Coturnix japonica: one gene and its partners. The protein of the gene in region 3 interacts with the protein of the main gene of each other region in a biochemical or structural test. Links are inferred from orthologs where the notes say so. Each region holds a gene or a part of one and is shown on either strand. Other genes may lie near its edges.

Region 1 (5,389 bases), on a different chromosome or scaffold from region 3:
GTCCCTTCAAGCCTAAGCAGTTCTTATGATTCTACGGCATAATACTACCATAAAAAAGAAAAACTGCTTAAGAGCCATAAATACTTTACTCAGCTTCCATGCAGCCTGTGCCCTACTCTATCTGTTTCACAGTCCCAGAAAGACAGAGATACATCCAATCTTGCTACAGTACTACAGCATCTAAAAACTCTTGCAAAGTCCAATTTACCTTTTTCTGTGCAGCCTTTTTCTCATCAGAATCTTCACTACTGCTGCTGCTACTGCTGCTGCTTGGTGCTTTCCCATTGACCACTTTGGTGGTTGCTTGAGCAGCTTTATTTCCTTTAGGGAAAAGTGAAAAGCAGTACTAGAAAATACACTCATTCAGCATAAAGTACCATAGAGAGAAAAACACGGCAAAAGATAATGAGGAACCATTATGGTAAGTACTGTAAACTTTCTGTTTTTACTCTTCTTCAAGCGTAGGGATGATTTTCAGTAAGATGTCTGCCCTAACTTATTAAGGGTTCCCTAACTTATTAATAGTTCTGTGAACAAAGAGTAAGCACTGTTAACTTACTCCAGCTCTGCATTTTATGGGAAGACATTGATAAAAGCACAACATAAGCAACTAAGGTTGCTGACTGCAGCTACTTATGCAAATAATACAGCCTTTATGACTTGATGTTTCATTTATGACATGATGTTTCATTTACAATCAGTTCTACACACACTCCATGTTGAAAGTAGACTGCCCTAGAATACAAATGGCAGAGACAATAGATTTGCAGACTTCATTAACATGTATGCCTCACTCCTTTAGACTTTTGTGCATGCAGACTCACAATACCCAATCAAGGAGATACCTGCTTTAGGTGTCGCTGCTTTTGGTGGCTGTTTCTTTGGTTCTTCTTCATCTGAGCTGCTTGAGTCAGAGCTGGAGCTCTCCGCTTTCTTCTGAGGCTGGATTTTGGTTACAGCTGGCTTCGCTGCAGGTTTTGTGCCTTTCTAAATGAAAGGAAGAAAACTGAGTAGCCCTTGTAGCAAAGAAAAGGAGGCTAATAAGTGGAACATGTACAGGAAGTTGAAACAGTTGGAAACCTCACAGCCTAACAGCTAGTGTTTAAAAATCTCTGAATAATGGTTTTGCTTCCAGTTTTGCTCTGGGAAGCCTCACAGAAGCACACAGGACATGTTCTTTACTCTTCAGTCTCCAGTTCTTCCCCTTCAAAAGGAGGGGGATCTGGGACTTCTCTTTGGGGATCAGACTAGTTCAAAGACTGAAAATACTGATGAGGAAACCCTGGTTTGCCTCTTCAAGCGCAACACTGTTTTTCCTCCCTCTACTTTTCAAGACCATGGCAGTAGTGAATAAAGAGGAAATTATCTATTTATACATGTGTATAAGCTATAAATCATCTTTCTCTTAAACAAAACAAAACAAAAAACAAAACCCAAGCACTGACTGGGAAAAGAACCAGGAGTAGACATGGATACGAAACAAATAACTGCTAGACATGAAATGAGTTTTTCAGAGGCTCCATCTAAATGGTACACTGTCTATCACATAAGCATCTTATTACATTGCATCTCCAGAAGTCCAGGTGCTTTGTAGTTTGTGGAAGGCAAGCTCAGTTGCAGGGAGAATTTTGCTGGTCAAATTTGCTATCATTCATCCTTATCTAGCATGTAGTGAAGAGGCTAGAAAGGAAGGCTAACCTTTGCTGGCTTCTTCTCCTCCTCCTCTGAGTCAGAATCATCACTAGAGTCCTCGCTGCTGCTCTTTGCCTTCTTGGCAGGAAGAACTTTTGCCTTTGTTACAGCTGTTGCTTTAGCTGCAAGTAAAGGAACAAATATGTTGATTGTTTAATTCATGCTTCCCATATATGTATATCCTGCATTACTATTATACTGTGTTAAAATAGTCTATTTAAGTCAGTAAAATATGTCTGAAGATTATAACACTGACCCAAGCTTCAGTCTGCCATTCACAGAGCAGAACAAGAATCCAAAACAGTTCTAGACTCATTCAGCTCTTATTACTCACATATTTAAGAGCAGACTTCTCAGCAGCAACACCCCATACAAGAAGCACTCCCACAGAATGAGATAATGTTGAAGTTGTTGATGGCACATACCTTCCAGCTTCCACAACAAACCACTGCAGACTTCCAAAGAGAATCATTCCAAAGCTGTGCTACAGATTTTAACTTGTACCTGGATAACGAGCTCACGCCTACCGGGAATTAAAGTGAATCACAAACAGAAATGGGAAGCTCCAGGAAGGAGACTGAGGGATTGAGTGCATCCTCAGTAAGTTCGCAGATGACATCAAGCTGGAAGCGTTGATCCGCCTCAGGGTAGGAAGGCCCTACAGAGGGATCTGGATAGGCTGGATCAATGTGCTGAGGCCAGTTGTATGAGCTTCAACAAAACCAAACACCAGGTCCTGAGCACTGATTGTGACAACCCCATACGTTGCTTGGGGTTTGGGGCAGAGGGGCTGGCAAGCTGCATGGAGGAAAAGGATCTGGAGGTGTTGGCTGATGGTTGTCTGAACCGCCAAGGGCATCCTAACTTGTAATAGAAACAACACAGTCAGCAGGACTAGAAGTCAACTAGTCAACTGAGAGAAAATGGCCTCAAGTTGTACCAGAGGAGTTCAGGTTGGATATTAAGAAGAACTTATCTGAAGGAGTGGCAATGCACCAGCACGGGCTGCCCAGAGAGATGCTTAACAAACGCAGAGATGTGGCACTGAGGGACGTGGTTAGTGGCTGTGCTGGGCTGGTGGGCAGATGATTTTAGGGATCTTAGGGATCTTTCCCAGCTTTTATGATTCTGCATTTCTCAGACCAGGACGTGGCCGTGCTCTGTCAGCAGCACCAGCCGTACCCAGAGCAGGGCCAGGCCGCCAACCCAACGCTGCACTTTCCCCCCATCTCACCCGGCTTCTTGGCAGGCGGGGCCGCATCCTCCTCCTCCTCCTCCTCGCTGGAGCTCTCGCTGCTGCTGGTGGCCGCCGTGCGCTTCGCCTGCGGCCCGTTGGGCACGAGCTTCCTTTTCCTGGCGGCAGGAGACCTGCATGGAGACAGAGGGACGGAGCTGCAGGGCACTGCCCCGAGCTGAGCCCAGCTCCGTGCGGGCAGCGCTCACCTCACCCAGTAGCTGAAGATGTCCAGCAGCGAGGCGGCGTTGGGGTCCTGCTCCTTCTGCGGGGACACACGGACACGTGTTAGCCTCAAACATGGGGACATCCCGCTCCACATCCCGCCCCCCGCCCCGGCCCAGCCCCGCTCACCGCCGCCGCCTCCTTGGCGAAGGCTCTGGCGGCGCCCTCGAAGCGGTTCTCGCGCAGGAAGGCGAGCACGAACGGGAACAGGTCGCTGGGCACGGCCCGCCGCTCCGCCATGCTGCGCCGACACGTGCCGCCCGAGCGCCTGCGCACCGCCGCCATGACGTAACGACGTCCGTACGTCTGTGCGTGCGTGCGTGCGTGCTTGCGTGGCGCGCGGCGCCTCCGCCTCTGAGGGAACGGCGCCATGTTGGAGAGGGGAGGGAGGGTCTGTAATGCTGCCAGATGGAAAGTGTCTGTGCAGTTAAATCCGACAAAAACAACAAACAAAAAGTCTAAGTGTATGTTGAATGCCAAGGCCAGAGCTTAAAGTGATGTCTGGGACTTGAGTGTGGTGTTGAAGTCATGGAATAGCTGTGGCTCTGATAAGGCGTTTCATTCAGCTGCTTATAGTGCTGTGGCTATAAATGAGCTATTCCTCTTGTTCAATAAAAGCTTTCTTGTCTATAAGCCTCGAGGTATTTGTTGATAAATTGGAAGTCCTGTTTTGTTCCTTTTGCTTTGCACTGGGGACTTTTTGTTGTTGTTCTGATACAAAGCCTGCTGGGCACAAGCAAGAGAGAGCTGTTTATGAGGGTCCTGAGTTAGAGCTGCTGAATTTCAGAGCATACACATCAGATCTCACTGCATAAAAGGGAGGCGTGAGAAAACATTTCCTGTATTACAGACGATAGGGAGTTACATTTCTATGTCTGCTTTAAGGATCCTGAGCAGAGCCTGTCCCATCTCCATACCAAACAAATCAAATTGCCCATAACATCAGCAAACTGGTGAGCAACAGCTCCAGCAATTAACCCTGCTATGTGGTCTGACCTCTGTGGGCAATTGTGTGGGACAGATGTTAGAGCAAGGAAAAGCAAGTGACACGCCTTCCTCACTGTCAAGTGCTGCTTTAGTCAGTGCTGTATTGGAAATGTGGTGGCGGGCAAAAGAGGAATCCTAGGACTGGAAGCAAAAGGTCATTGGGTTATCAGCCATAGGGGAAATGGAGGGAATAACAGAAAACGTGATGAATTTTCCACCCTTGCTCTGGAAGTCCGTGGCAAAATGGTTTTTATACTGTAGGGTGGGTTAAGTAGTGCTGTTCCTGTGTGGAAGGTGCAGATCACGCTGATTTCTAATGAAGAACAGGCTCAGCAAGGCTCAGCTTTAGCTTGAATTGAAGTAATGAAATCTGTTTTCCTTTGCACAAGCTGCTGTGCATGGAGCTGCAGCCTTAAATGAAGACAGAGAGCCTGACTTGCAGAGAGACGACCTGGCTCTTCCTCAGTAGCACAATGAGGCCCTTCTTTTGCTTTTTCCCAACCCACAAATTCTTTTTCCATACACTAAAGTGTATCTTCTGGCACTTTTTGGTTCCTAGTGTGTCTAAAGCGTCCTGTTGTAATCTGGTTTTTCAGGAGGAGGTTGTTGTAAAGTGCTGAAATGGTGCACAGACAGTTACTTTGGGGAGGCACATTAATTTCATTTGACAGGCTAAAGGGATTTCCTGTGTTCTACATTGATGGAATCAAATGGCATCCCAGGTGACACTGATGTACATGGAGAAATCCCATGGATTCTCATTGAGCAAGAAGATGGCATTGTTAGCTGTTTATATGATCCTGCAAAGCTTTCAAGGGAGAAATGATGTAAAAGCTGGTTTCAAAGTGCATGTTTAAATCCTAATCTGACACCAGAGGGATGATTTTGAGATATATATATATATTACTTTGAGATTAAATGGATTTGCAAGAGAAATAACGGTAATCATGGAGCATATACATGTTTGTCCATCTATTTTTACTTCTATCTGTTTCTGAATATGTGAGTATTATTCCATGATATCCAAAAATTAGACCAGCTTCCATCTGGTGGACTTCTGTCCTTTATAAATGTTGGATTCAGTAGCTTCCCATTTCTCCAGCACCCAGATGGTCTTTATTCCATTGCACGTACTCAGAATTCATTTGGGCACTGGTGAATCTAAGGGCACCGAGGTATGTTCATATGTTCATCACTTGTCCTCTCTGGCTCTTACGTTTTCCACCTTTCCTGTTTGACAGGTGTGACTTT
Region 2 (3,987 bases), on a different chromosome or scaffold from region 3:
CCTGGGGGATACAGGAAAAAGCCCTTCTTCAATCCACCCCAACCCCAAACGACCAAAGCTCAGGGTTTTTGTATTGAGGCTCTGTACCATCAGCAAGGCCAGGATATGGCTCTGTTCCCCTCCAGCCTCAAATGCTGCAAGAATGAGTGTCACAAGCGCCCCTCAGAAAGGCTGTCCCCATGGCAGCCAGCCCCAGGTCTCCCTCATACCTTCTTCTTCTTCTTGTGAACTTCAGCAGAGCCATCTGCTGTCGACTCCCCTTCTGTGGGCATCTTTTTGTTCTTCTTTTCTTTTCCCGTCTTTTTCTCTGGGAAAGAAAAGTCAACTAAGACCTCTGTGAGGGGACATAAAGAGCATCAGGAGCTCTTGGTTGAGGAGGAGGCATTCCTGGTGAGTTTCTGATCACATCCAACCCATGGCAGCACCTCTGGGTGAGGGCAGAGCTGTGCCACCAAGAAGCTGTGCCCACTCCAGTACCCTGAGGCCTGAGTAGTTTGATTCCTGCACACGTGTAGGCAGAATTAGGCAGGCTGCCCTTCTTCCCACTTGCTGCTGTCCAACCACCTTGAGGAACTGTTTCCATGCTGGAGCAGCTGAGCACATGCCAGAAACCAAAGCAAGGGGAGCTACCAACACCAGATGGACACAAGTTTCAGCTGAGCACGACTGTACCAAGAAGCTCCAGTGCATGTCTGTGCTACAGCCCACACAGAGGCTGACAGACAAGGCTGTCTCCTCCAAAACGAAGGGCTATATCTCTGCAGAACAGAAAGCCCAGCAAATCTTGCCCACCCATTCCATCTTCCTTCTCTCTCATGAAGAAGAAGTCCACAATAGCTACAGCTTGCAAATGGATTCTGAACTGCAAAGGATAAAAAAATGCTCCTGTGTTAGCCCAGCACAGAAAGGCATCACATGGTGCACAAGGAGGTCTCAGGCAGTTCAGCACAGTCTGACCTCTGCCAGCCCTGAGTTGGATACTTCCAGCCCTGGCAAAGGCCTGGAAAGGAGAAAACCACGAGACAGGTCATCCCATGACATTTGCATAGGGACATCAGCTTGCTTTGCAAGCAACAAGGATCAGTGTAAGTATGACATGGTTCGTGTTGTGTTGGATATGGGAGAAAGGCAGGAGAGCCCAGCTGTCTGTATGACCTGATGCTGAAAATGCAGAAAAAATGCTAAAGCGGGGAGTTAAAAATCTTGCACTGGCTTTGGGTGGGCCAGAAAGGAATGAGACAAGGCTGATGGGAAGGTGGTTGCCCTGAAACAGAGGCTGAGCACCCATCAGCTGCAAGAACCCACTGCGAACACAGCCCCACATGACACCACACGGAAACTTACTTTTACTTGACTTTTTCTTTTCCTTGCTTCCTGGCAGCTTCTCCTGGTCATCAGCTGCTTTCTTTTTCTTCTTTTTGGGCACTTCTTCATTACCTTGCCCTTTCCTCTTCTTTTCCTTGGGCTGCCCAACAGCTCCATCCTCTCCTGGATGTTTCCGTTTCTGAGATGCTTTCTGTTTTTTGTTCTCTTTGTCTTTGCCCTTAGCTGTTTTCACAGCCTTGTCTGCTGTGGAGGAAGGTTTCTTCTTCTCCTTCTTTTCTTTTTTCTCTTTTTTTTTCTTCTTTTTCTCTTCCAACCCGTCTGGTGTTTGCACTGCAGGAACTCCAGCAGCACTGGTGACCTCACTTTTGTTCTCCAAACTCGACTGCACTGGCTGTGGGGTTGTAAGCAGTGCAGATGGCAATGGGTTTGCTTGCGTCCCTTTTGCCTCAACATCGTTCTCTTTGTTAGCCACGGCTTTCTTGACTGAGGAAGGTTTGGGGTTGGCATGATTTGCATCAGTTTTTCCTGCCCCCTTCTCTTTGTTGGATGTCCCTGTGGCTTCCTGGCCTGGAGAGGGTTTGCTTTCTGCAGAAACAGTGACAAGAGAGAGATGAAAACTCCAGGAGCATTCCTTGCAGCAGGGGAGGGGAATATGTATTTGAAGAATGTGCTGGCCATCCCAGCTACAGCAGAGATGGCTGTGTCATGGCCAGGGGAAGCCAGCAGACGGCAGCAGCACCCCACACTGGGTTTTGCAGTGGAGACACAGCCAGAACAGGCCCTGGCCCCAGTGTCACTCTCCTGTGCCAACACAGCTCTGCTCCTGTGCCAGGCAGATTCCCAGCCTTGCCAAAGGACCCACCTGCTTTGTGGTTTGCAGACACCTGCTCGATGTCTGTGTCAGAGTCACTGCTGTCACTGCTGGAGCTGTCAGCTGGGGCTGCTTTCACAGAGACTTTGGCGAGGGAGCTAGTGGCATTCACAGCTGCTTTCCCTTGCCCTGTGTTGCCTACAGGCTGGGGGGGAACCGTCTTTGGTGCTTGAGGTGCTGCTGGGCTCTTGGAGAGGCTCATATAACCTGTGAGGAGGGACTGAAATAGCACAGACGCTGAGGAAACGGCACAGAAGAGCAGCTTCCCTCATACCTCGTACACATGTTGATATTGCCCACATACTCCAAGTGAAGGGCCCTGTATAGGAAACTGTTAATCACAGCCTGAACTTCTGATTAAACAGTCAGAGGCAAGCAATGAGTCAGCTGCAGGAGCGCAGGTGAAGGTAATTCAGCTGTGCTCCCGGAAGGCGTGGAGCTTGACTCCACCTCTCCTAGATCCCATTTAAGGGCTGACCACCACTAAGGCAGCATCTCTTTTTGGAGGCTGTTCCTTTGTGGAGTTCCAGTGGCAAGCCTCAACCTTTTCCATCTTGACTGAAGGCCTCAGAGTTGGTGAGTTTTTCCCATGGATACTTCTGGCTATCTATTTATAACTCTTGTATTATTCCAACTGTATATTTCTATTCCTGTCTTATTCTAACCATACATAACTATTCTTGCCTTGTTTCAACTGTACATTTGATTGTATAGGCCCCCTGCAGAGTGATAATCCATGGTTCAGCCTGCTCTGCAGAGAGCCCATGGCAAGGCAGGGCTGCCAGGAGAGGGAGCCAGCACAGACATACCCTGAGCTTGCAACAGCAAGAGCTGATGGTAATGGGGTCTCTGCTTTGTTCTCACCCAGTAAAGCAGGCTTGCAGGAGGTTCCTGGCCATTAGCATGCACCCATGTACAGCTAATGCACTACAGATGTGCTACACACCCTGTATGTTACTTACAGAGGGAATTTAAAGGCTTGAATAGGGGTTAAGTTACAAGTAAAAGGGGAAAAAATCCTGCTGCTATTGGAACTATGCATCAGTTTTACCCTTGCTGGGTACCATCTCCTCCCATCTGCAGGGAAAAGTATCATGAGCTCTGAACCCAGGGCTTGGCTGCCTGGGGAAGCATTCCAGATTTCAAAGCCTCTGCCTTCCCACACCAGAAAGCCCTGCTCACAGCACTACACTGGGAAACCCTTGCTTTCCTGCTATTAATCCTACCAAAGCTTTCCATTTGCTATGGTGGAAAACTCATCCTTTTATCTGCTGCTTAGAAGTCAGCTGCAAGATGGATCCCACAGCCTGCTCAGGTACAATACCTGTGATACTGCCTCTTCATCATCACTGGACTCTGACAAGGAGCTGTCATCTGGCTCAGTCTTTCCTGGTTTCTGCAGCATCCCTGTTGGAGAAACACAGTTCATCCCATTAAACCCACCACTGCTTACTCAGGGCTAGTTCACCTACACAGCCCATGAGGATTGCCACCAACAGGCCTTCTCCCTCCAAAGGGGAGCCTTCTGCAGAGCTGGAGAAAAATCACTCTCTAGCTACTAATACGAAGGAGATACACCTCCCATAGGGTAACAAAAAGCTGGCCCACGACACCAAGAGCATCTTCTTGGGAGAACTGACCAGGTTTGGGAGGCTGCTTGGGTGTCTCCTTCTCGCTGTCAGAGGAACTGCTGCTGTCTGAGCTCTCCTCTGCTTGGGTGAGTGGTGCAGTCTGGCTCAGCCTGGCATCCTGTACTGGCTGCAGGCCTGGCTTCTTTGACTTGGCAGTGG
Region 3 (5,425 bases):
TTGCATACAGTTTACCACAGCAATGAACCAATTTGCAGCCTATTCTGGCTCGCAACAAAGGAGCTTTCGGAATCCACCTATTGCCAGAGTGGTCATACATCCAGAAATCACTCTCTGCTCTGTGATCAATGGAGACCTCACTGCTGCTCGGTCTGTAACCACCCGCAATATAAATATCATTATCAGGAGATACAAGAATTCCAACCTCCCTCAAGTCATTTGGTGGCTTGCATAGTTTAAACACTCTCCCTGTGACCGAATCTAAACAAGGCACTGTTTGCTTCTTTCCTGAGTGTTTGTGGGCAGCATCAAAGCATATGATCATTTCAGAAGCAGTCATTCCGAGCCGTTGTGTATAGCCATTGGCACTATGTTGTCCCTTTTGTACACAGCTTTTGGCCATAGCCTGTGCAAACACGGGAGGGATTTTCTCTAAAAATGTCTCTTCCAATAGAGGCATACGGATGCATTTGGCAAATATCTCTGGAAGGTGCACTTCTCGCTTATTTTGTTCATGCTCAAACCACCTTATAATGCTGTCATAAACATGTTCTTCTTTGTCTACATTTAAGTCATCACTGTCGAGTATACTTATGAGCTGGTCTTTTCTCAACTGAAGAAACTCTTGCTCTTTGGTGACACTCAGAAACTTTTTACGAATGTAGTCTTGTGATCTGTCTTTGAGTTCCTGATGACCATAGTGATCAGCAAAGATAAACACCCCAATGGAGTTCTGTGGGTCCAAATGACTGATCATATATTTAGCACACTGGTCTTGTATGGAAGGGATCTGGAAGATACTAGCTGCAGTGAACAAAGCTTGAACGTTGGCCTCTGTCAGCATTACTCTGGAGGTATATGCATAGTTCAACACTAAATGCATTGACTCTGCTTCAACACCAACTATACGAACTTCTTTCTGGGTACTCTCTGTAAGGCCGCTAGTGAACATAGATCTACAAAAGAAAAATATTTAGCAGTTTATTTGCAGTTACCTTCTAACTACAGATCTAAGAAATTATACCATAAGCTAACCCCAACAACTCTGCCCTTTTGTGAGCACAAACACATTTAACAATGATGTTACACTGTTCTGCTTGGGAACCTAAACTTAAGAACAGTCCCAGACTTAAGTCAAAAATGGCAAGTTGGAATTTCTTTCTTAGTTATCCCAATAATTCCATATAAAAATTCAATCATTTTAAAAGCAAAGCTCTTGACACATCCAAGTCACTGCACTTAACTTTCAACAAGTTATCCATATGCACATTCCAACATGACAGCATACTTATAAAATGAAACACAGTTTAACTACACTGTTACTGTAGAAATGTATTTACTAGATAAACTATATCATCAATAGTTACATGGAACATTAGTAAAGGTTGTGCTTTTTTTGGTCATTAAATGGAAATAATTTATAATCCCCCTTTTTATCATCCCTAGAACAACAGATTACTGTACCTGAAGTAAGGACTGATTGCAGCAAGAACATTTCTATGACAGGAGAATGTTTTCCCATGATCCACTTCCACTACAATATCTGTCAGTTGTCCTTCGTCATACATGGTTTTAAGTTGTTGAAGAATACTGCAAGCATGGAAGGGGTCCATTCCACTGCTGACTGTGTTTGAAGAAGGAATTCCATTCAGTGTTTGTGAAAACTTACTTGGTTCTACAAAGCAAAATTAAAACCATTTAAAACAGAAAAAAAGAGAAAGTATACATGTCCAGAATGTAATATTTAATGCAAGTTAATATTCTGTATGGCCTTACCGTCATCATCCATTAACAGCAAATCTAACATACTCAAGGATGAATAAATATATAAGGATATATGGGAGTAGATTGAATTTATCTGCCTGGTTGTTTTGTTGTTTGTTATTGTCTTTTTTCCCTCCTTCCCTATCTTACTAACTTTAAGAGAATATTCACATGAATGTCTTACTAAACACCTCTTGGGAGATGTGTTGGAGGGAAGGAAGTATCACAGTGTTTACTGACTTCTAAAATGGGAAGAACAAAGAATGCAGAAGAGTAGGACTAGCCCACAACCAAATTCACCATTGCACAATTCTATATGCTTGTAAACTCCACACTGAAACAGGAACTGGCTACTAACTTCCACAAATGATGACTAACAGAGTACAATCACAAAGAAACTGCCTTACAGTAAATATATAGAGCAACAAACATAGATGAATTCATGTAAATCTGTATGTATGGTTACATGTTTTTATTTACCAGTTAAATGCAATTACCATTTAAGACTACCCAGGTGTGAAAGTACTTGCATATCATTGTGAAAACATGCAATGAGAACACGATCCTTACTAACATGTGATATGCTTAACGAAGTAAATCCCAAAGTGAAAATTGAGCAATACCTCAAGCACAAAAATCCGTTTCGTAATAGCAACAAGATTTTTACGCAACAATAACAAAGAACTCAAAAGGAAAACATTAGGTGATAAAAGCTGCAAATCAGGTGAAGCTGCTGATTGCAACTGAAAGCCCTCAACACATTTAGGGCAACACAAAGGGGAGTAAAGGCCAGTGAACAACAAGGACTAAGAGACTGAAATTCTAACGCACGGCAACACACAGGAGATACAGTTTCTCTTAGAATTCAGACACAGCTCTGAGCACTCAATGAAGTCAGTGGGGATCTGCTGGTCAGGCACATTTTCCTGGTAGGCTTAAGGCCAAATATAGTCAGTGCCTGTTCAAACCACTGGTAGGAGAACTCCTCAAAACACTTTTCCCCTCCTCAAAATAAGTTAGTAAATACCGTATTTAAGGATAAAATCTTCAGTGGGGAATTGACTGCAGTAACTAAACATCAACATTCAGTAACCAACCAGCCACAGGGAAAGGAGGAAATTCAGGTCTTTTTCAGAAGGAATGTTCATCACTATAAATTCCAAGGAAATAATACCTGCTACACGGATGCCAAGGCTTCCTACCTGGCCAAACCTTAACGTACAGTAACACAGCGATATAGCAGCCACTGCAAAGGAATTTTATGTACATACTATTGCTGAAAAGGCTCAAAACTGTCCCTCCCTGACCCTGCCATTCACCCAGGCGATGAGCACATGCTATGAAGGCAGCTCCCAGCCCTGATGGAAGCAACCAGGCACGCTCTCATCCACGTATCCGTTTTCCTGTTTAACGCCGTTCACTCCTCAGGTCTCACTCCTCTCTATCACAACAAACACCTTTTTTCTCCTCCTAATATCTCCCCCACTCACATCCCTTTCCATCCCAAGCCCCCCCACACTCAGTCCATACACCTCACCCTGCTCTAAACTCCCATAGGGAGCATCTCCCCATCCCACCCATAAAACCCCCCTATTAAACCCCACTCCCTTAAACCCCCTCTTGGTCCTACCTCCCCCCACTCCGCACCCCAACCCTACAGGCCCTATGGGCTCGTCCCCCACCCCCAATGCCCACACAGCCCTCCCCCCCTGGCCGCACCAACCTCCTAACGCTGCCATTCTCGGGTCCCCAGCTCCGGCAGCGGGAGAAGGGGGGGGGGGCGAGAGGAAACGTCAACCTGCGCCGCTTCCTGCGGAAGCCAACCCCGCTCCCCTCCACCTCTCAACACGAAGCGCGCTGATTGGCGCTCACCACCGAGGTCTGCTGGGTAATGTAGTTCTGGAAGCGGAAGACGCACGGCTTCGGCCTAGAGGGGAATGCTGGGAGTTGTAGTTCGCATTAAGCGATTTGGGGGCGGCCCGTCGCGTAGCAACGAGGAGGAGGGAAGTGAAGGGCGGAGCGGCCATTTTGGGGCCCTCAGGTGGGGTCGTGAAGGTGTAGCACGGCCAGAACGAGCTCCCCCTTTGAATGACCCTGCTGGATAGTAACACCCCCAGTCTCTGCTCTGTCAGGTTTTGTGCTGCTTTGCTCCTGTTCACGCTTACCTGCAGCTCCTGGCAGTAATCCCCAGCCCTCAATGGAGAGCAAAGATGGCACCCAGCATGGAGGGGCATCGGCTGCCATGGGCCCTGCTGGAAGAATAAAAGATGACAGAAAAAGCACAAACAAACAAAAACAAACAAAAATAAACAAACAAAAACAAAACCAAAACAAACAAACAAAAAACGGACCAAAAAACCCTAAAATAAACAAAAACCTCCCCAGTATTTGCTGCCTTCCTGATGCCACAAAAGCAGAGCGAATTGTGGTTTGCAAACCCCACATCTTTCCAGCCCGTTAATCAGAACCAATCCACAAACACTTTGTGTTGGACCTCATAGTTTTCTCTCTCATTCTGTAATGGTGCCCCTGGCACGCAGCCATCCAGAAGGCAGCTGGGTGACCCCAACAGACAGACCTCATCTTGTTGCCAATGCCCTTTAACATCACAAGGCACCATTTCTGCCCTGGAGATGAAGCAGCTGATAGTCACCAGCTATTTTTGCTTTTTTTTTTTTCTCCTTGGTGTTTGGTCATAACCATCCCATCAGTTTTGCTAACTGAGCCATTAGCAGCAGCGTACTGTGGAGGACTAATAGTGGGAAAAATAGTGGGAGCGTTTTGAAGGACTACACATTTCTTCTATTATAAATCAAAATAGATGTAATGCAACTTTGCGGTACAGCCGTTTGCTCAAGGAAAAATAAATGCAAACAAACCCAATCCAATTTAGATAAGATTCTTTTTTTTTAAAAGCAGTGTTTCACTTTAGCTCTCAGCAGCAATGTGCCATGGGTGTATTATGGTACCCTGAAGCAGATGAGTTTTAGAAGCAAAAATAGCAGTGCTCGGCATCTTCTGACTGCTTCTCATGTGGTTTAGCTTTCACTTGCTACAAGTTGCCTTTCCCTACTTTAGCCATTATCAGTGATGTCCAGGCTGCTGTCAGTAATAATGCAACACAACACAGGGATGATGGGGGCACTGATGAAGGAGGTGTGAAAGAAAATAGAACTGCACGTCTGCAAATCGATTCTGCAGTTTTCCAATTTCCCCATTCAGCAATAGCATGGCCTGTGAAATTGTCCCTAGAAATATAAAACTAGGGGACTCCACTCTTACCTTTTAGCAAATGACATTGCCTAATGCAGTTCATTTCCTTTGGTGTGGACACTGAAGCTGGGCTGGATTTAGTGTTCAAAATGCAGAAGCGAAATGGAAAATGTTTTTTAATATAAATACTGCATTGAACTGGTACTTTGGAGTAAAGTGTTTCATGAAATAGCTTACCTTTGTAAGATTCATGTGAAGAAAATAAATTGCCAGACAAGCAGGTTTGGCTATTCATTAAGAGGCACTGCTATCAATGCTTTCTCTTACTCTGAAATCCTTCTCAGGTACAGTAAATACACTGTCATCCACTTCCCTGTCTGGAAACCTTCATTAGCACTCCCTAACACTAAGAAGATTTAGCACAGAGTGACACACATTCACGGGAACT

Evidence for each region.
Region 1: the proteins of KBTBD8 (region 3) and NOLC1 form a complex in vitro, tested with the Homo sapiens proteins (2 studies listed by BioGRID). The link is inferred for Coturnix japonica from reciprocal best matches to the Homo sapiens genes KBTBD8 and NOLC1.
Region 2: the proteins of KBTBD8 (region 3) and TCOF1 form a complex in vitro, tested with the Homo sapiens proteins (2 studies listed by BioGRID, with this or other methods). The link is inferred for Coturnix japonica from reciprocal best matches to the Homo sapiens genes KBTBD8 and TCOF1.

The regions. Positions count from the first base shown.
Region 1 is NC_029521.1:14,292,331-14,297,719, reverse strand, and holds the start of NOLC1 (nucleolar and coiled-body phosphoprotein 1), read right to left. Parts: upstream 3,452-5,389; 5' UTR 3,437-3,451; coding exon 3,281-3,436; intron 3,192-3,280; coding exon 3,136-3,191; intron 3,061-3,135; coding exon 2,927-3,060; intron 1,815-2,926; coding exon 1,699-1,814; intron 988-1,698; coding exon 846-987; intron 322-845; coding exon 209-321; intron 1-208. UniProt on the Homo sapiens protein: Nucleolar protein that acts as a regulator of RNA polymerase I by connecting RNA polymerase I with enzymes responsible for ribosomal processing and modification.
Region 2 is NC_029528.1:4,918,924-4,922,910, reverse strand, and holds part of TCOF1 (treacle protein), read right to left. Parts: coding exon 3,838-3,987; intron 3,605-3,837; coding exon 3,522-3,604; intron 2,418-3,521; coding exon 2,189-2,417; intron 1,912-2,188; coding exon 1,345-1,911; intron 308-1,344; coding exon 210-307; intron 1-209.
Region 3 is NC_029527.1:12,051,488-12,056,912, reverse strand, and holds the start of KBTBD8 (kelch repeat and BTB domain-containing protein 8), read right to left. Parts: upstream 3,616-5,425; 5' UTR 3,504-3,615; coding exon 3,488-3,503; intron 3,011-3,487; coding exon 2,939-3,010; intron 1,676-2,938; coding exon 1,465-1,675; intron 957-1,464; coding exon 1-956. UniProt on the Homo sapiens protein: Substrate-specific adapter of a BCR (BTB-CUL3-RBX1) E3 ubiquitin ligase complex that acts as a regulator of neural crest specification.